Regions from separate parts of the Mus musculus genome. Here regions 1 and 2 are each reported to be linked to region 3. The links are microRNA targets in miRTarBase. Many come from high-throughput screens and were not tested one by one. Region 3 holds a microRNA gene; each other region holds the end of a gene's coding sequence. Distances are between the middles of the regions.
Evidence for each region. The annotated mature microRNA mmu-miR-1933-5p reads AGUCAUGGUGUUCGGUCUUAGUUU and lies in region 3 at 2,813-2,836, opposite strand. An mRNA with a match to its seed (bases 2 to 7 or 8) in the 3' UTR can be bound and repressed. Matches are read on the target gene's strand: a 7mer-m8 pairs with bases 2 to 8, a 7mer-A1 pairs with bases 2 to 7 and ends in A, and an 8mer does both.

Region 1 (7,126 bases), not on the chromosome of region 3:
CCTCTGAAGATGACTCAACTGGGGAAGGCAGGTGCTGGCCTGTTGCTAAAGACACCAAGAGAGGCTTGAGGCCTGAGGCCATGGCTCTTGCGGGCATCGGTTTGGTGGTGGTGATTTGTGGCTCTTGGTAGAAGAGACGGGAACCTGGGAGAGTCAGTAGTGCAGGGTGGTCCAGTCCCATGTTTCAGGATGCTGTTTATTTACGTGTGTGTGTGTGTGTGCGTGTGTGTGTGTACATGTATTAGGCATGAGTGTGTGTGCCCACGTATGCAGAGCCCGTCTCAGAGCTGTGAGCTGTTTCATGCAGTGTTTGGCCCCTTAGCCTAACCCATTGCCTCACAGTTAAACAGATAGGAATGCTGGCCCTGGCTCCAGGGTGGAATGTGGGGTTGCTGTGATGGGATTGGCTCCTTTCTCCATCCGCTACATCCCCAAGAAAGACTCTGCCCCTCAGCAGCCCAGGGAATCCATGCAGGCAGCCTGAACTGGCGTAGGCCCACCTGTGGGACTCTTCAAACAATTGAGTTCTCAAGACAGTATTTGCACGGAGAGAGGTTGGGGACAAGAGGTGCCCCTTGCTTCCCAGGAACTCACCTTGGGAAAGGGTCCACAAAGCTCTAGACTGGGCAAAATTCAGGTTTCCATGGGCTGAGCCTAGCACGTTTTTTCTTTCTCCTGCCTCAGTTTACCCGTATCACAGGAAGAGTTAGAGCAGGGTCAGCCTCCAAACAATAGGGGAGACGGAAGTACAGCAGTAGTCCTCCCGGCCCTCCTCCTGTATGCCAAAATCATTTCCGTTATCCCGAGGCAGGGGAGTGGGTATGGGTGCCCGGCAGCGTTTTTAAGGGACCCTGCCCTGCCCACAGCCCCAGCTGACCCTCTCCTGGCATGTCGTGCCCAGGTCACCAGCAACAGTGGTACTTCATCAGTCCTGCAGCTTGGGTGAAGGGGGTGGGGGACGGGTGTCCTCCTCTGTCCACCTCCAGGGCCCCTCATGCTTTTGTTTTCTCCTTGTCAAAGAAACAAAACCCTTAAGAGTTGTGTACTGTATGATGAAGAGAAAAAAAAAAAAAAAAGTACCTAACGTTCCCCCTGAAAAAGACAGTATATTTTGTACTTTGTAAAGTGTTCATTAAATGAAGGGGAAAAAATGATGTTGCCTGATAGCTGTCTGATTCTATGTTGACTTGTCCAGGATCACGCCTCCGTTGTTTGGGAGAACGTAGGTCATGGCTTAGAGGAGGCAGGATAGCCCTCAGGTAAAACACCTTGAGTCTCAGAGACTGCCTAGGCTGAGAAGGGTTATATCAGCTCCCTGATGCTGTGGAGTAAATGGTCCCAAATAGTGGCTTAAAGTGACACATATCTGTATCCCAGCATGCAGGAGGATAGAGGGCTCCAGGCTAGCCTGAGCTACATAATGAAACCGGGCGAAGTGACTCAGTGGTCAAGAGCACTGACTCTTAACCGGGAGCTCCAAAGGTTCGATTCCTAGCACCTACGTGGTGGCTTACAGTCCCAGGGAGTCTGAAGACCTCTTCTGGCCTCGGGGGATACCAGGTACCCATGTGGTACACGGACATACTTGTGGCAAAACACCATATCCTTCGAATCAAAGCTACAGGGAAGAAGGATTTGTCCCAGCTTAGAGTTTCCCCGTCATGATCATGGGCATGAGGCTAAAAAGGTTAGTTACAAGAACAATTTGTTGAGTAGGGGTTGTTTGTGGCGTCTAGGAAGCAGAGGTGAGAACATGGGAAAAGACCAGGGCAAAATATCGCATCACTGGTGACCTGCCACGTCTCACCATTCACCAATGCCATCAAATGGTGGATCCATCAAGCCGTCAATCTGATGATTAGGACAGAGCTCTTATGACCTAAATGTTTCTGAACACAAGGTTGTAGACACAGCGAGGAATGTGTTTGCAAATCTAAACGTCTCAATCAAGTCAGCCCCCAGTACCCACATGGTGGCCTTCAGCCATCTTTAACTCCAGTTCCAGGAGATATGATGCCCTCTTCTGGCGTCTGCGGGTAACACACACATGTGATGTATATACTTAACACGCCCACAAAATACTCGTAAAAACTTTCAAAAATAAATTTCAAAAAAATGTGGCCAGGCGGTGGTAGCATACACCTTTAATCCCAGCACTTGGGAGGCAGAGACAGGTGGATTTCTGAGTTCAAGGCCAGCCTGGTCTACAAAGTGAGTTCCAGGACAGCCAGGACTATACAGAGAAACCCTGTCTCAAAAAAAAAAAAAAAAAAAAATGTAAGAGGGGGCTGGAGAGAAGGTTTCCAGAGCCCTCGCTGTTCTTGCTCTTGTTGAGACAGGTTTGAGGTTTGCTTCCTAGTACTCCATGATGGCTCACAGCATGCTATAACTCTGGCGCCAGAGGATCTTACACTTCTGGCCTCAGTGGCCATCACACACAGATGGTGCAGAGACATATGTGCATGCAGAACACGTACACGCATAAAAATAACCTGTTAAGAGAGAGAACGAAAAGAGGACACCTGGGAGGAGGCAGGTGGCAAGCTTCATCCGGGGAATGAGTCACGTGCTTATGAGAGCAAAGCTTTCCCTGGAACAGAATGAGCAGCCAAGATAATGGCTGCTGAGATAATGGCTTAGCAGCGTCTCCAGTGTCAAATGCTGGGGGTTGGGGGGTTAAGGGCCAAAGAGACAAAGACACCCACGTATAGATGGCAGCTGAACAGAAACCCTGGTGAGGTACAGATGAGCTACATGGCCAGGCTGACCAACAGGTAAAACAGACTTAAAGGAAAGCTCAAGGGAGGGAGGGAGGGTGCTGGAGAGATGGCTTAGTGGTTAAAAGCACCGACTGCTTTTCCAGAGGTCCTGAGTTCAATTCCCAGCAACCACATGATGGCTCACAACCATCTGTAATGGGATCCGGTGCCCTCTTCTGGTGTGTCTGAAGACAGCTACAGTGTACTCAAATATATAAAATAAACTTTAAAAACAAGGAAACCCCAAGCATAAGGACATCCCTGTGTACAAACAGGTGACTAGAGTCAAGGGGCTTTGCTTTGCTCTTTAGTTCATTGAGAAAGGGTCTCATGTACCCCTGGCTGGCCTAAAACTCAAGGTCTAGCCACGGGTGACCTTGAGCTTCTGACCCCCCCCCCACCCAGTCTCCATGTCTACCACTTCCTGAGTCACCCAAATGCACCCATGCTGTTTATGGGGTGCTGGGGTGCAAATCAGACCCCAGGGCTTGGTGGATTCTAATCAAGGACTTTACCAGAGCTACATACCTGGCCCCTTTGTTTTCCTAAGGACTTTTAAAATTAAGAACATTTTTAGTTGGGTGTTTGTGGTGACAGATGTATGGCGATGAAGCCAACAGAGGGGTCCGATCCCCTGGAGCTAGAGTTACACACATCTGTGAAGTCCCTGAGGTGGGAAGTGAACTCAGGTCCTCTGGAAGAGCAGTAACTTCTTAACCACTAAGTCATCCATCTCTCCAGCTCCTTAAGTCTTCTTCTATTTCAAGTTCACAGAAAATGTTCCTATTGTCAGCCTAAGACTAGCCCTTACAGAGGGGCATCTGCCTGGGTGAGGGGCCTGTAGCTGCTCAAACGGCCATTCCTTCCAACACCAGCCAACTGGTTCCCATGACAGCCTGCTTGTTGACCCCTCGACTTTAACCCGCAACCTTTCAACACATCCCATGTCCTTTCTCCATTTTAGGGTTTGAATCTGAAATGCCCCTCCCCCAGGCTCATGTATTGAATGTATGGTCCACATCAGGTAGCACTGTGGTGGAAACTGGAATTTTTTAAAGAAGTGGGGCCTGAACAACAGAAGTAGATGGGCGGAGTTAGTCCTTTAAAGGTGGTAGTACAGCCCCTGCTAATACACTCCAGTGTGCTCACATCCCATAATACACTCCTGTGTGCTCACATCCCATAATACACTCCTGTATGCTTCCTGATGTGCCCGGCTGGGAAGGCCCTACAATAAACTCCCACCATCTCGAACGCTACCATGGCAGGACTGGAACCCTCGGACACTGAGAGCCAAGGTGAATCCTTCTGCCTTTAAGTTGTTCCTGTCAGGTACTTGGGGCAAGACTTCGCTTTCCTCCACAGCCCACACAAGCAGCCGTCCTCTGCATTTTGTTTCTTGTCCGTGTCCCTGCCCGAGGATAAGCTGCACAAAACGAGATTCCTCTGCCCGCATGACTCACTGTGCCCCACGCCTGCACTTAAGGAGCCCACAAGTACCTTAGAGTGAACAAGTAACAGGAGCAGGGTGTAGCAGGCAGCCTAGGAGACCATAATTAGAGACTCAGGTACCGGCTATTTTCCCAGCCAAAGGATCTGTTCAGAAAACAATTCCCAGGGGCTAGCAAGATGACTCAGTAAAGTGCTTGCCTGACAGACAAGCCGATGGCCTCAGTCCAATCCCCAGAGCCCATGTAAAAATAGGAAGCAGGGCCCTGTAACCCTGGCACAGGGGAAATGGAAACAGAGGGTCCCTGGGACTCTGGATGGCCAGCCTATCCCTGGGAAGTTCCAGGTTGGGAGAGATACTGGCCCAATCATAAGGTGGACCTGGGTGTAACAAGCACACAGGTTTAGTTCCAGAATTCTGGAGACTGAGGAAGGCAGACCTCTGTGAGTTCAAGGCCAGCGTGATTTACAAAGTGACAGCCCATCTCAATAATAAGATGGATAGCACCTGAGAAACAGTGACACTTTACCTGTCGTCTGTCCTCCACAGGAGTGTGGCGCGCACACACACACACACACACGCACACACACACATCCTGAGTGGGACTGCCTTCTAAAGTGTGTTCCATTGGCTACTTTTATGGTCAAGAAATGATCAAGTCAAACTTTTACAAGACCTCCATTCTGTAAAAAGGCAGAAAATAGGCTTTATTCCAAAAGACCTTTTCCAACCCTGTTCTGAAAGGAAAGGGCAAGCTTCCCTAAAAACAAGTATTTCCCAGTTTCTGAGGCCTCCTACTCCAAGGCCAGCCCTTCAGCCAAGATTCCACGGCCCTCAGCCCACAAGCACTTGGCCCGCAGAGTCTTTCTTCAGGGGCTTCTGGGCTGTTCAAAGCCAGGCAGTGAGGAAGTTCCAAGGCTGGGATACTGTAGGCCTGAGCGGGAGGCTGGCTCCCACTGGCAGCTCCATCAAGAGTCTCAAGCCAAGGCATCCTGGGCTCCTGGACTGTCCTTCTGCGGGACTCCTGGGATGACAGCTGACCAGAGGCCCTAGCTGCAGGCAGTCAGCTGGCTTCTTGCTGAGCTGAGGCCAACTTTATCCTCCTGTGACAGGGGACTACAAGTTCTTCTGAGTGCCTTGTCATGTCTCTAAACTCTTAATATCAAATGTGTCATGAGCAGTGAACTTTCTCTAAGAATAGTGTCTCAGACAAGACACATCCCCAGATGCTACCATGTGTTACCTGGAAAAGGAATCTGCCTGGCCACCCAAGGTCTTCACGCCCTGGTGCTCCTCAGAAACACGGCAAGCCAACTGTAGCCATCCTGAGCTGAGGCCAGCAGCAGGAACCTCAGCGGGGGAAGGGCTTTGTCCACACACCTCTAGTAGAATGTCCCCACTGAGGACACACAGCAAGCATCCTGCACCCCAGAGGCCCTGGCCCTCTCCCAGTACCCTCAGAAGCTCTGCTGGTGGCCACCCCCTGCCTCTGCCAAGCTGCTGCTGTGGTGTGGCTCCCAGGCTGGGCCCAGAGGGCCTTTCAGATGAATGACTTGGCTAGAGTCACCATGTGATCCACTCCACACGCCACATCCACAGGCTCACCGGGCATCGTCACCTGGAAGAGAAGCCACGGACACGGTGAGGGAAGGCCAGCCAGGCTCTGGAGCCCTGCAGGAGGGAATGGGGGTCACACGATTCACAGAACCCAGGCTAGCCTCCAATTCCCTGTGTAGCTGAAGCTGATCATGAACTTCTGATCCTCCTGCCTCTACCTCCCAAATGCTGGGTTTACACACATGTAGTACCACACCTGGTTTACGTGGTATTGGAGACAGACTCTCAGGCTTTGTATGTGTTAGGCAAGCAAACTACCCATTGAGCCTCACCCTCAGCCCCTCCTCTTAGAAGGTTCTTTGCCTTCTGTGAGTGTGGCTGTATCCCCTGGAAATGGGCTGCCCACACTAGTCCACAGCTCACTAGTATCTCTACCTCTCTGCTACCCTACCTCTCTGCCCATCAGTTGCATCAGCTCTAGCAGCCACCCTAAAAAGGGTGTCCCTAGGGAAGGACATGGATGCTCCTGGTCCCACTGCCTGTGACCATGCTTCCAGATCCCCTGCCTGGAGGCTGAGTGTTTGGTAACCTTCACTGGGGTCACCAAGTACTTCCCAAGAGTACAGGAAAGGCCTCGGCCTGGTGGATCCAGTGTGGGAGCAGGCCACAGAGCTACACTGGCCTTCAGAGGCTGGTCCCATCTAGCCTCATTATTCTGTTCTTTAAATTTGTGTGTGCGTGTGTGTGTGTGTGTGTGTGTGATATGTCTGGAGACAGAGGGGGACAGTAGGTTTCTGCTCCATCACTCTCCAAGTTATTCCCTTGAGACAGAGCCTCTTGTTGAACCTGAAGCTAGGCTGGCAGCCAACAAGTCCCAATGATTTTTCTGTCCCCACAACTGAACCTAACCCCATTATGCTGGTATTGCGAGCACATATGTGGCTATACCTACCTTTCTACATAGGTGCTGAGGGTTAGAACTCGGATCATCATGTTTGCACAACAAGTATATGTGTGTGTGTGCGTGTGTGTGTGTGTGTGTGTGTGTGTGTGTGTGCATGTGCACACTTGAGGTCAGCAGACAACCTTCAGGAGCTGGTTCCTCCCTACCTTGTGGATATTGTACATTAAACTCAGGTAGGAGTCATGCTTGCTGTCAGGTGCCTCTATCCAGTAGGCCTCACAGACTCTTAAGTGTTTGGTTTTTTTCCTTTTTTGGTTGTGTATGTGGTATGTATGGAGAAATGTACTGTGTACGATATGTGTGTGGTAGGTGTGTGTGGAATATAGTGTCTTTGGAATGTACTCTATATGGTGTGTATGCTGGCTAGTTTTAGGTCAACTTGACACAAGCTAGCGT
Region 2 (7,126 bases), 94 Mb from region 3:
AACAAGACAGTCAGGCAGGCAGGCAGGCCAGCCATGTGCTTAAAATTTGGGGATCAGGAAAAGTCTTCCCCCAACAGCCTAGGATCATTTCCATGGATGGTGGGTATGGGGGGCAGGGGTGTGGGAGAGGTCAACCAATAGGACAAGACCAGTCTTCTTCATTTCCAGAGCCAAAGTCTCAGAATGCTGTCACTTCAGGGTTATATGGGACCTTAAAAACAGTCAGTGCTCTTAACTGCTGAGCCATCTCTCTAGCTGCCCCCCAACCTCTTTTACAGTAAGCAAAGTGACACAGTCTTGCCATAGAGCCTCTAGGTGGCTGGACCAAGACTGATATCCCCAGCTTTTGTCCTTGGCCCTCCCTGGGAGAAGCCAGACCAGTGGCCTGGGCTCTGAGCTGCTTCTGTTCCTCATGGATGGGACAATATTCTGAACTTTGGATGCCAAGTCCGGATTCTTCAAGGGGACTTGAGAGCCTGCCCATCCATGTTTGTCATGGACTAGCCAGAAGCTATTTTCTGACACCAGTTGTAAGGGGAAAAAATAGGGTTGTTTTGTTGTTGTTGAGAGAAAAGGATTATTGGAAGAAGACTCCAGACTTCTCCAAACGTCTATATTTAGATGGCATTGCTCCCTGAGGACTGACTGAGACTTTAAATTTTTCTCTTAGTCCAATTCAGTACTTGGGCTGTGAGCAGTAGAATCCTCCATTTTGACATTTGTTCTTTCTGGTTACTTTAGGATCAGTCCCCGACTAATAAAACAAGATGGTAGATGCCCTCTTCCCTGGACCACACCTCATCTGGATCCCTCAATGCTCTGCATCCATCTGAGCAGGGCCAGCAGCTTTCCCACCTGTCCTTGGAACTGGGAGGGACCAGAGGCCACCAATTTGAAACAGTGGACTGAGTCGGGACCTTGGGATAGGCCTGAAATATGTGACTGGTGCTCATAGGGCCACCTGTCCCTTGCCCATCCCAACCTCCTGGTATCCAAGAAACTGCAGCTACAGGGAGTGAACTGTTGACTCCCATCTCCTGCCTTAACACATCCCTCAGGTCACAGTGTCTGTGTTCCCATGTGGTTCTCCAGGTTGCTGTCTCGCTGTGAATGTCCAGTGTGTGACGGACCTTCTTGGCCATGTTGGTGTCCCGTCAGCATGTCTCACAATGGACATCAGGTGAATCTTTGTGAGTCTTTGGAGACAAGCCACACAACAGAAGTTGTCCCTTACCCTACTTAGGGCCTGCTGCACCTTCTAGGAGGTCACTGGCTAGTTTGGGCAGGCTGTTTCTCATGACCTGAGGGTCTCAGGTCCCAGCACCTTTGAATCTGGATGGAGTCTACTATACCTTCAGTGGGTCGTGTCCCCTCACCAGGGCAGGACCAGTCGGCCTGTTCTGTCCTCCCCACTGCCCATCACCATTGAAGATGGCAGTTACACTGGTCCCATCTGAGGAAGCTCTTCTTGTCCAGCCCTGCCACACAGAGAACCCACATCAGAGTTGAAGAGCCCGTGGGCCACAGTGGTGCTAGGGTTTTGCACCGTTTGTATCTCAGTTAATCCCCTGTTTGAATCTCCCCCAGTCTCCTTTTGCCTTCTGTGCTAGCTTCCTGGGGTAGCTCCTGGGACAGGTGCAGATGTGGATATTGCTGAATTACCTGGATCTCACAGGTTCTGGAAGCACCTGCTTGGGCTACCAGGACATACGTGGGGTCTGGGAGTTCCCTTAGGACATGTGGGTGGAATTCAGGGCTGCATTCTCAGGGTGAGTTGAACCTTTCCTGTGTCCGACTGGTGGGATGTGCGGTCCAGGACTGTAGATCGCTTATGGAAAGACGTCTTAAGTTTCTACCTCAGTTTGGGCAGCAGCCGTCCTTGGGACACATGGACATGATCTGCTGCTTTCAACATTAGAGGAGAGTCCTTGGCCTTAGGACATGCACCGGAGGCACCCGATGGCCACCCAGGTCAGAGAGGGCCATTTTCAGGCCTGCAAGCTGCTGACACCAGTGGCTGAGATGGTGTCATGGTACCAGACCCTGGACTCGAGATCTCCAGAACATCATTCTTTGTTCTACTTTTGGGTACCAGACAGAGCCTCTTCTATACCCTTTCCCCCAAGTGTGCTAACTTGGCCCTCAGCCCAGTCCTGCTTAGTGCCAAGGTAGAGGTAAAGATGAGTGGATTCCCAGGATAGCCAGGCACTCCATGCCTAGTTCTCATGCCATCCCCAGCAACCTGTGCCTTTTATCATTGGATGAAAGGTTCCCACAGAGTAGGACCATACCTCCAAATGATACTCCTCTTGCCCTCTGCTGACTGAGGATGCTTGGTCCTTCCACAAGGGAACCGGTCTCCATGCACCTCACACTGTTCTTGATCTAGAGCCCCAAGATCTGCCGCAGTAAGCGAGGGACTAGTTTGCTGTCTTAAATGAGTCCTTTAGGATGCAGAAAGCCCCACATCCCTAGGTGTGTAGCCTGTGGTGGGTGTGGCTGTGTTTATAGCCCAAGGCCTGCCTGCACCTGAAGCTGAGGAGTGATTGGAGGCTCCTGGAGGATGTAGGCTATTTGGGAGTGTCATGGTTACCCTTCATGGCAACCCTGCGACTTTTAGTTCCAGTTCCAGTGGAGAAGTACATTTTTCACTTGGGAGGCAGAAGCAGGCAGATTTCTGAGTTCGAGGCCAGCCTGGTCTACAAAGTGATTTCCATGACAGCCAGGGCTATACAGAGAAACCCTGTCTCAAAAAAACAAAACAAACAACAACAAAAAAAAGTACTTTTTTTTTTTTTTTTTTTTTAGGAGGGTTGGGGGCCTCCAAATGAACAGCTCTGTATCATACACAAGCCTTGAGTGGGAGACATCAAGTAGGTCCAGGCTTGATCCAAGCTCATCATTTGCAGGCCACTATCCCTTAATAAATGTCACACGGACCCTATTAAATCCTATAGTGGATGTAAAGGGAGGCTCAACCTTGTAACTGCTCAGAATTAAACGACTGCCCTTTCTTTGTGAGGGGTTACTGCCTCTGTTCCTGTGTGTTTCTAAGTGATTGTGGAATGTCAGTGTCAGCTGCCTTGCCTGCCTCTCTCTCCCCATTCCCCCATCTCAGCTACAGTAGCTGTTGGATTACAACTAACTAACTTCTCTCCGGTTAGAGACTTTAAAGGAGAAAACCAGGCCGCTGAAAGATATTTGAATTCTCAGCTGGATACAGTGTTGCAAGCCTTTAAGCACTTTGGAAGACAGAGGCAGGCAGATCTTTTGTGAGTTCCAGGACAGCCAGGACTACATAGAAGAAACAAACAAACAAACATTGAATTCTTAACCAGCCAGGCGGAGAGACAAAACGGTTCCCACGTGAGATGTAGGAGGGGTACGGTGGGAAAGGGGACACCCTCAGATAACTACCCAGCTATGCCTGGCATGGTTGGGAGGCAGGGCACAGACCGTTTCTTCTTTGTTAAAATGCTTTGTTCACAGGCATGCTGGGCCAGAGATGATCACAAACAGCTGCCCCAAGCCTGGGGGCCCTGTCATGGCCACACCCAGCTTGCTCTTGTGGCCCATTGTACTTGTTCAGCAGCAGCACTTCGGCTTCTTGCAGAAGAAAGCAAGACACAGAAAGGTTGGCTGGCTTACCCAGCTGTCACCGCACAGGCACCAACCAACATTCTCACCAAGACCAGCACCCCCTCCTGCTCTGCAGAGGGCACGCCAAGGTTGTGCTCAGGGGGCTGCTAAGCAGACTTCCTGCCTGCTGTCTCAGGGCTGGGTCCTCCAGGAAGCTACAGCCCCGTTTACAGCAGCAGCATGAATTATTTAGCATCTGCACCAGCCAGAGAGCTCTGACCTCATCCTCCTTGGGCCCTCTGGGGCTCTGACCTCATCCTAGTTGAGGAAAGGTATCTGTTAATAGCCACGAGTGGGGGTGGTGGGTCCCATTGGGGTGTTAATAATGGGGTGGGGGTGACTCTTTGAGACCAGCACTCTCAAAGAGACTCAATTAGCCTTGTAGCAGGAAGTGACAGGAAGTGAGAGGAGAGTTCTATAGCATGTGTAGAGATCAAAGGTTGATTACTAGCTGTGGCCTTCCACAGTCCTTTTCACCTTTCCCTAGTCTCTGCTCATCTGTAAAATAGGAGTGACAACCTTTGGATATACTGAAGAGCACTCACACAAAAGTCACATTCAAGCATAGCACTCAAGTGTGTCCTCCCTAGACTATTGGGCCTCTAGACTGGATCATTTGCTGTCTGACCTTGGACTTAACTCTGTTTGTCCCAGGCACTGGATTCCCAAGGTGGGTGCAATAGCTGGGTTGGGGCTTGGAGGTATATGTTGGCATATCTTGGCAGTTCTCTGATGTGTAGGGGGAAACATATTGGTGGGTGGCCTACTTGCACAGGAAATCCAAATAGCCAGGCTGGAGGGCTGGGACCAGACAACTGTCCCCCAAGTACCCATAGGTGTATCAAGAGGAGTGACTGTTGTTCCTCCTCTTTACAAGGAGAGACTGGAGCTCTGAAGAAGTTGTGGAGGCTTCAAATGACCATTTCAGAATGGTAGTAACTCTGGGCCACAGAGCATCCTCATGGTGTGGCCTGACTGTCCTGCTCCATCTGGGTTGGAGTTGGGAAGATACAGCAGTCTCTGCCCGAGGTCTGCAGTAGAACTAGCCAGATGAAAGGTCGCTTCAGGGTTTTGCCTTCCACAGAGGAGCTGAGGGGGTTAGGAGGCTCATCCTAGCCAGCTGTCTGCCTGCAGGTTCCCCCAAGCCAGGGGGAGGAGGAGACGCTCCCTGAAGTGTCCATAAAGAGACAGAAGTTCACATCACCCTCCCAGGGCACTTTGAGGGTGCAAGGGGTGGGGACCTGGGAAGGTTTCACAGAGTCCCAATCCAGAGGTCCCAACCCTGCCAGGACTCCAGGGTTCTGGGCGCAGGAGATCTTGTGCCTCCCTTTCCCACCACAAACACCCCACTCTCTCCTAGGCTCCTGGAGTGTATGTTTTGGGTTGAGGGGAGGGGGCCCTGAATATCTGGAGCTCGGCTGTCACTCTCCTTGTAGGGCCTGATTTCTATTCTCACCTAAGCCCCACCCGGACACCCTGCAGTTGGATCCCCCTGAGTGCCAGCCAGCCATCACCAACTGCCCCTAGCTGTCTCTGAGCCTACCCAGGTCTGGGTGAGGATGGGTAGGGGGATGGGTAGGAGTGTTGGGGTTATTGGGGGCAGCCCACGGTGCCCCAACCCTGCTCTGCTAGCCTCACCTATAGGGATCTGGTGCAGAAGTCTCACCCTATCCACTCCACCAGACCAGGATCATGTCTGACCCAGTCTAGCTCAAGAAGCAAGACCCTATCTGCAAAGAGGGCAGATGCCTGGACCAGCCAGCCTGGGGAGGGAGCCCCTCCACTGTCTTGGTCGGGCTTCAGGGGACAGTCACTACTGACATTAGGGAAAGAAGATATTCTTTTGTTGGGAACAGTGTGTGGTAGATGCTAAGTGGGACCCTCTATCGGCTAGATACCAGGATCTCCAGGTCCCAGGTTGTGACAATCAAAAATGCCTGGGGATGTGACAAATGTTGGTTAGAATTCATTATCCAACCCATGGGTTGGTTCCCTAGGGAATTACAGGGGCCTCAGCCAACCTTACCCGGACCCTGGGAATCCACATAGTCCCAGATTTTGTTTGCTTTCTGGGCTGCTTCTCTGGGGAGGAGCACAGGCAACAAGTGACGGCCAGCTCACTACTTACTGCCTGGTGAGCTGAGCTGTCTTGGGACGAGAATGCCAGCCAGACCAGTCTGTTTGCTGTACACAAACAGCAGGGGATCTGGGCCACCAGAGACCCACAGTCAGGGCCCAAGGTCAAGGGAGAGTCTGGGTAGCAGGTGCCCAGCTGCAGGTCACAGCAGGGGGCAGGCTACACTTGACTGAGCACAGCCCTCTGTCTTGTGACTCTCAGAGGGATAAATGGACCCAACACACACACACACACACACACACACACACACACACACACACACCCCCGTAGCCCGGGCAGATTCCCTAACCAGCCCCTGCACCAGATGCCTAGAGGGAATGCTCGGCGAGCAGGGATGGGGACACGGGGGCAGGATGCTATAGGTCCGGAACTCTACCCCACATGCAAAGAACTTTTCAGGAGAAACCAATCACAGACTCAAAGCAGATGGTTTTAGTAGCCCGCTTATACCAACACCCCCCATATCCAGATGCCCTTATTTGCATAGAGGGACTCTGATAAGAAAGTTGGGGAAATAAAGTTCAGGTTCGTGTGTGTGTGTGTGTGTGTGTGTGTGTGTGTTGCCAGGCAGAGGAGGCAGAGACTTTTACTGCCTTGCTGTTTTTTCTACCCGGTCTTTCTTTCCACCCCTTTCTTTCTCTATTTTCACTGTGGAAAATAAACCATGAATTTGATTTCCTAATTTACTGCAGTGCCGGGGGTGGGGTGGGCTTGGAGGGGGTGTAGAAGGCAAGGTCTTGAACCTGTGAGGCAAGGGCACAACCCCCCACCCCAGCTCTAAATCACCAGTTTTAAAAAGAGGTTTTATTATTTTGGACTCCCTGGAACTGGAGTTACAGGTGGTTGTAAACCACCTACTGTGGGTGCGGGGAACTGAGCTCAGGTCAGGGGGAAGGGCAGCTTGGGTGCTTGGGGCTGGGGAAATGAATAGCTCACTTGCAGCTCCTGCAGAGGACACGGTGGGATGGGCCACTGTCTCAGAGAAGAGGAGGCGGGCTGAGGAAGGCTGACTCAACAGTTAAGATTGCTCTTGGAGGTGTCTGGTTCTCAGGTCCCACAGCAGGTCTCGAGACCACCTGTAACTCCGGCTCCATGTGATCTGATGCCGGATCACCTAGTCTTTGAAGGTTCTGGTATACACACGCATGCACACACACACACACACACACACACACACACACACACACACACACACTCACACACACACCTTAAAAAAAAAAACCTCAATAACAAAGTTACAGGAAGCCTTTACAAAGGGCTCATCTTTGAGAGTAGGGTGCAGGGTTCATTTGTAAAAAAGGGCCAGACAACCTAAGGCTGTATGCTGCCTCTTTCAGACACATCCCATGT
Region 3 (7,000 bases):
AGTAATTGTGCAGATTAGAGGTTACTATGCCCTATTTCAGAAAAGTTCATTCCCCACCAAACTAAAACCCTTTAAGACACCAGAAATTTCATTTCAGAACATAACAATAATCTTGTAGTATACCATTTTTTCAGTAATAATTAATGTGCAAATAAAACAAACAAATGTTCTATAATACACATAGTGGCTAAGAGTATAGGTTCAGGCTGATCAAGAAATAACTTCTGAATTACAAACTAAGGAGATAAAGGTGGCTATCGAACCATCACCAACTCTATGCCTACCATGTATGGGGATAACAGAGAAGAACAGTTGCTTGAGGATCACAAAGGAAGTGTAGGTAAAAAGCCAAGAGTGATGCTTGTCACAGCAATGTGTAGTTCTTGTGCCCACGTGTTGATAAGCTCAGAGTATACCCCATAGTGTTCGCAGAGACAGAGGGATCCTTTAATATCATTTGAGGATACTAAAGAACCAGGTCTTTCAAGTCTTGACAACCCATCAAGTTTACATCTGGATTCTTTTCCCTAGGTGAATTATTCTGAACTTCAGTTCTCTCTTTTGTAAAAAGCACAATAATGAGTATACGGATAGTGAGCCAGGATGAAAATAAATATTCAGAGGTCATGAGAAGCTGCCTGCCCTGGGATCTATTTTGTTTTTCCTGCTGATGGAATCAATAAAGGAACATCAAGTGATAGTCAAAACACACAGAGCTAATGCATATTTTCCTAAACATATTTTAAACAAGGATCTTAAAATCAAAAAATGAACTGTGCTTATTTTGGGCCAAACTGTTTTTAACCTTGATTTTTGCTAGTTAGCACCTCTCATTCTTAAAACAATAAACTTCACAAAACCTTAGTTTCATTCACAAAAGGAAATTCTTTAAGCAAAGTATATATGCCAATTCATTACTTGTACTTAAATTTTAAGCTTTAATTTTTAAACCCTGTTGAAAATTACATTTTTAGTAAATGTAACTTAATACAAGGTGTAGGTGTGGTGGTTTGGATGAGAATGTGCCCCCACAGGCTCACATACTTGAATGCCTAGTTATCAGAGAATGACACTGGTTGGGAAATATTAGGTATGGCCTTACTGGAGTAGATGTGGCCTTATTGGAGAAATGTGACATTGGGGTTGGGCTTTGAGGTTTCAAAAGCCCAAAGAATTCTAAGCTCCTTCTCCAGCACCATGTCTGCCTGGATGCTGCCATGCTTCCCACCAGGATGATAATGGACTGGAATCTCTGAAACTGTAAGGCAGCCCCAATTAAATGTTTGCTTATAAGAGTTGCCTTGATTGTGGTGTCTCTTCACAGCAATAGAACACTGACTAAGACAATGGGCCACCTCCCTTATGATTAACTGGACAGAGAGACCATAGAAAACTCCTAAACAATAAAAATTCTTGCCATTTCTTTGTGGTTGCCCTTCAGAACTAGATGGTACGGCTCTATTGCTGAAGACACCATCTATCTTGGTGGCATGAACTGGAACCGAGCTTCCACCATGCCAGCTTGCTTTCACTGTGCTGAATACGCTGGGCAAAGGCTGCTGAGGAAGAAAACACACCAACAACCTTACCCGTTGTTGGTGTAAACTATGATATTTACCTGCCAGGACAAAACATGTTTATTTGTTCAAGAGCAGCATGACTGTCATGGGTAACAACTACTCTCTGATTATATTCTCTGATTATAATGGGAATTCATACCTGGTACGATACAAGTACTCATAAACTCACAGCTGGGGAGGCCAGAGTGCTAAACTGTCATAACATGGAACCATCTCCCAAGTATATGGAAACAATTACCACTTGTGGTAGATAACATGTTGAGGTTTGGTCTTTTGTTATCTATTGTAATGGTAAGTGCGGCCCCCCAGGACCTGGGTGTCCCAGAGATAACTCAGTCAGCATACAGACCTTGCTCATAAGTTATTTCTGCTTGGTAAATAAAGATGCCAATAGCCAATAGCTGGGCAGAAGAGACATAGATGGGGTTTAGGTTTCCCAGGCGTGCGGTTGGAGGAGAAGGATGACGGGAGGGAGGAGAAGGAAGAGGAGAGGCACAGGAGGATAAAGGAGAAACCACCATGGGTTAGGAGTCAAGAGAACATGGCTCTGAAGGCTGGCCAACTGGAGTTAAGAACAGCCCAGATGAAACATAGCAAGTAGTAATAACTCAGAGTTACTGATAGTAAAGTAGATTCTAACAACATAGAGGGTAGATATCTGCCCAGCTCTTGTACTGTTTAAGGCTAACTGTAAATATAAAGGTTATGTATGATTTTTATCTGGGAACTAAATGATCTAAGGCAGGGTAGAAACCCTGGATCCGGATTAAATAGTTTCTACAACAATTACAAATGTATAGCTATATAGGATCCTGAGAATAAGTGACGGTTGAGTGCTTGGTCCTAAACAAGGCATTACGCCATTTCTTCCAAGGCTCAGGAACAATGCAGAAGAGGATATAGCATAAAGAATGTAAGTGTGGAAAATAGAGAGAAGGCCTTCCAAAAGCCCCCAAATGGGCAGTATCCAGCCAACTTAGGCATACCCTTCAAACAACTGGAAATGGTTTCGCTCAGCCTGCACAAAAATGAGCTCATTAACAGCCAGACGTGGATGAGTGAGGGGGTAGGTCTAATCTTCTCTGCTAAACTGTTTCCTACTGAAAGATTCTGGGAAACACAGTCATTACCTTCAGCAGTATACCTAACCAGTGACCGCACCACACTCACCGCAGTGGATAGTCCCAATCCAATAGTCACACTGATGGTCCTGGTTAAACTAAACTGGTCACAAACTAAGACCGAACACCATGACTGTGGGATCAGGACAGATATGCTGAGGTGCTGAGAGGAGTAGGGGTAACCAGAATGCATCTTACACATGTATGAAACTGCCAAGGAATGAGTGAAAGAAAGAAAAGGAAGGAAGGTAGGTAATTTAGAAGCCACAGGATTACACATATTACCATGGTAAAGATCCTTAAGTGCAATGCTTTCTCCAGAAGCCCATGCCTATATCTTGGTATTGTGTACTATCCGTTTCCCATGAGTCTGCCAAATAATTAACAAAATAATTAACTTTGTTTCACTCTGGGGCTTCTTGAAACTCTTTTCTGCAGCACAGGCAAGGATCTGGCTCTACCTTAGAGGAGGTCTCTAAGAGTCTCTTAGGCTGCTGGTAGCTGTGTTAGGCCGTCTCCCTGCTGCTGCTGAAATTTCCTAGGTTGGTTTTTACTAGTAAATGATCTATCAAACTTAATTAAATGAAAACTACTGAGAAGAGATATAGCTGAATTATCTACAAAGAGATGACTTGGCTATCTTGCATTAAGACTGTGGTTTGATTCTTACCATTTCAAATAAATAAAACAAAAATTAACTTTTGGCTTAGAAAATAAAAGATAAAACAAGCACCTTTGAAATGGTATTTCATGCTCTCCTGAAATTAGAGAATACATTACAATCCTCAAAGGGCTTTAGGACTATGTACATGAAGACAATTGTTTTAACTGAACCTTTCTGTAAATAATCTCTAGTCAATGGCCTGCTTCCACCTGTTTCCAATATTTAGTCAAGTCACAGGTACCCTTTGACATATCCATGTTTCCTGTTTTATAAACTTCGTTCTGAACTTTGGAATTCTCTCAGTCCTTTTGAGTAATCATCTTATGTTCACGGTGACTCAGAAAGAAGTTTTAAAATGGAATACAGACAATAAAAATTAGCTTAGATAGCTCTATTACCTTCCCAGCTAAAAACAAGATGGATTCTAAAAAAATTTTCTCTAACTCAAACTACTGTAAAATTGTTTATTTAAAAACCCATTGTAAACCACTTAATTCAATTTTTACATCTTAATCGACTTAGAGTATTTTGTTTCCTACTGTTGATATTTTTACCTGTCAAACTCTCACGTACTGCCATCTTATTAAAAATGGGAGCAATTTCAAATTACTGAAGAGATGTAAAACTGTAAAATCCCTGTGTACTTTAAACCTCATAAAGTACAGAAGATCTGATGATAAAAGAACTGGCAGAAAACCAGGGTGAGAAAATCAAAATTAAATAAAAAGCAAAAAATTAAATAAAAAGCAGCGCTTTACAGATGGCAAGCAAGGTCCTAGAACTTAGAAAGGTAAACATGAAGAAAAATCCACTCCTATACTTTACTGAACTCTCAAAATTTGAATAGAAATTCTAGGGGATTAAAAGACTTCCGAATATTTTTAAACTACAAAATGTAAAAGCAACATACATAGATGGTAAACAAGAAGCATTTAAACATAACAAAAAGGTACACTCCTCTTATAAGTTGTTGTAGATGTCAGACAGAGCTACGGTCATAGGATAAGTCAATCATGTGCAGCATGCGGTCCATATCCTTATCAGACAGGGTGGTGGCTTACACACAACATCCCATCTGAGTATGGATTAGGAAGGACAAAGTCAGGTGATTAAAGAACTTGCAAAAACAAACAAACAAACAAACAAACAAACCAGAATCCAAGGAAGGACCAAATAACAACTCTCTTAAGTCAAAATCTGCTAGCTTTAATAAAATCACCTTGCCTGCCCCACCTCACACTAACCCACTGGCCTAGCCATTGTTAGTTAGTTATATAATTCACATTGTGGAAGCAGGCCTGGGAAGATGGAGGTGGATAAAAAGGAAAGAGAAAGCGGCTGTAGAGAGAGTCCTGTGGAAGACTACAGTGCAGGTATATGTGTATCAACAGCTGTTCTCAATCTTCCTAAAGCTGAGACCAACTAACACAGTTCCTCCTGCTGTGGTGACCACCAACCATAAAATTATTTTGTTGCTACTTTATTCATGAATTTTGCTATCGTTAAAAATTGTAATATAAACATCTTGTGTTTTCCAATGAAGGAGCAAAGAAACTCTCTGGTTCTTTTTCTGACTCTAGACAAAGAACCAGCCACACTCACCATCTGTCCAACCAAAGACCACCATGAGAGTAACTTTAAGCAGTATTTTGGAGTCTTACTTTCACAGGTTTATTCTTTTTGATAAGCCATTTACTCTCAGAGAAGTCTTGTGTCAGGTTCACCCCAGGAGACCAGAAAGTCGGTCTTATCCCTGTGCCAGTTAGTCAGTTTTGGACTCAAGTCCTCCACAAACACAAAGCTAAAATGCTGATAAGTGATCTATATTTGTTTTGTAAAGATCTAGTTCTGTACAGTTTCTTTTTTTGTTTTTGTTTTTTGTTCTTTTTGCTTTTGTGTTTTGTTTTGTTTTATTTTGAGACAAGGTCTTACTATGCAATCCTGACTGGCCTGGAACTTACTACGTAGGACCAGCAAGTCTTGAACTTGCATAGATTTCCTGTCTCCACCTCTGGAATGCTGGGATTAGAGATGTGCAGAACCAGATCTGTAAGACAGCAGTTCTTAACCTTCATAGGCCATGGTCTCCTATGGGAGTATGGCAACACTGACTGTCTACTGTCTACTATGGAAAAAACAAATCACATACACATAATTCTAAATGTTATGGGGGCTTGAAATTCTTACAAAGATCTCTCAAGCTTCGGTACCTGGTGTGAACATTCTGCTGTTATCCTGGTTTTAAAATGGGATGTGTGGATATTCAGTTGCTCAAAACTGAAGAATCCCAACCCCCAAAAAGGATTAGTAAAAGATTCTCTCAAATAATTTCAGGGCAGAAAGTATAAGGAGTAGGTATGGGTGGATCACTTTGCTTCATATAAAAATTCTCCCCTTATAAGTAGAAATTCCTTCATGGTGGATTAGAGATCTAGAGGTAGGATAGCAGAACCACAGACCTATTTTTCCTTTTCAATTGTATGACATAAACTACTTACATGAGATACAATTGGTGGCTGGGCATGAGTCTTTGGAGATGAAACAGAAACTAGCTGGCCCAGAAGCTTCGAGCAGCTAGTCTAGGACAGATCTAGGTGGATGGAAAGTGAAGATCAAAGCTAATGCTGGTGGTTGTCCTGACCTGCACATGCACACCATGGTGTCCAGTGGTTGCTGTCTCTCCTCTCTTCAGTCTTCCCTCTCTCCCTCCCTCCCTTCCTCCCTCTTTCTCCATTTCTCCTTCCCTTCCTCTCCACCTCCAACGCATGCACACACGCATGCAAATCTAGGAACACAAAGGACCCTGCCCTCAAAGATAAGCACTAAGGAAACCAGGAATGTTAAACACCTGGATTGTCTTTCCAAAGAGAGAGATGTTTTAGCCTGTTTTTCCACCAAGAAGACTGGGATGGAGGAGGTTAATAACTTGGTGATTTATGCTGTCTGTAGAGCCAGGGCATACCAAGCTCCCATAAATTGGACCCAAAGGAGCCCAAATGACCACTACACTATCTGTATGACCAAAACCATTTCAGATCCTCCCCTAGGCCGTTAGGATAATATATGTAGCTTATCTCAAGTGCCATGTACTCTGAAAAGAGTTTTGATGTCATTTTGCCTCCTCGTGCATAGGGGGCTTTGTGACACCAGCAAGCTTTTTCTCCAAATTGTACTGTACTTATATATACTTACAATAAACTGCTAAAGGTTAGACTTTTGAAGTTTGAACCAACAAAGGCTGTGTTAAATTGGACTTCCTCTTTGCCTTACACAGTCTGATACCCTGTTGGTCTTGGCATTTGCAGAAACCCCCTATAACCAGGGCCCAACATGGGGCATGACCCTTAGAGAAGGTTAAGGAAAGTTAAAAAAAAAAAAAAAAAAAAAAGAAATAGAAGGTAAGATACCAGGCCTCTTACCACAGAGGTATGGAGCATAGGTAAAAGAGTGGAAAATTAATAACAAAAACAGAGGAAAGGAAAAAAATTCTGCCATAAGTATCTTGGCAGAGTAGGTGGAATGGACTCCATAGCCTCTCCAGCTTCCCAGCTGCCCAGGAGTCACTTACTGCTACAGCATGCTCAAAGATGATGTGATTGGAACTCAGAGGCCTCAGTGTCCGACGCATCGATGCA

Region 1: miRTarBase lists Rcc1l as a target of mmu-miR-1933-5p. Seed matches in the 3' UTR shown: 7mer-A1 at 5,379-5,385 and 7mer-A1 at 5,348-5,354.
Region 2: miRTarBase lists Gprc5c as a target of mmu-miR-1933-5p. Seed matches in the 3' UTR shown: 8mer at 2,714-2,721.

What each region holds. Positions count from the first base shown.
Region 1 is chr5:134,143,180-134,150,305 of GRCm38, forward strand. It overlaps Rcc1l (reculator of chromosome condensation 1 like), which reads right to left. Exons shown (of 11, transcript NM_033572.2): 11 at 4,879-5,827. The coding sequence ends at 5,750. Among named protein-coding and RNA genes, the nearest start is that of Rcc1l, 30 kb to the right of the region's middle.
Region 2 is chr11:114,869,580-114,876,705 of GRCm38, forward strand. Gprc5c (G protein-coupled receptor, family C, group 5, member C) reads left to right here. Exons shown (of 5, transcript NM_001110337.1): 5 at 742-3,038. The coding sequence ends at 774. Among named protein-coding and RNA genes, the nearest start is that of Cd300a, 17 kb to the right of the region's middle.
Region 3 is chr11:21,341,828-21,348,827 of GRCm38, forward strand. Mir1933 (microRNA 1933) reads right to left here and starts at 2,848; the gene lies at 2,761-2,848. All of the region lies in intron 3 of Ugp2 (UDP-glucose pyrophosphorylase 2), which reads right to left.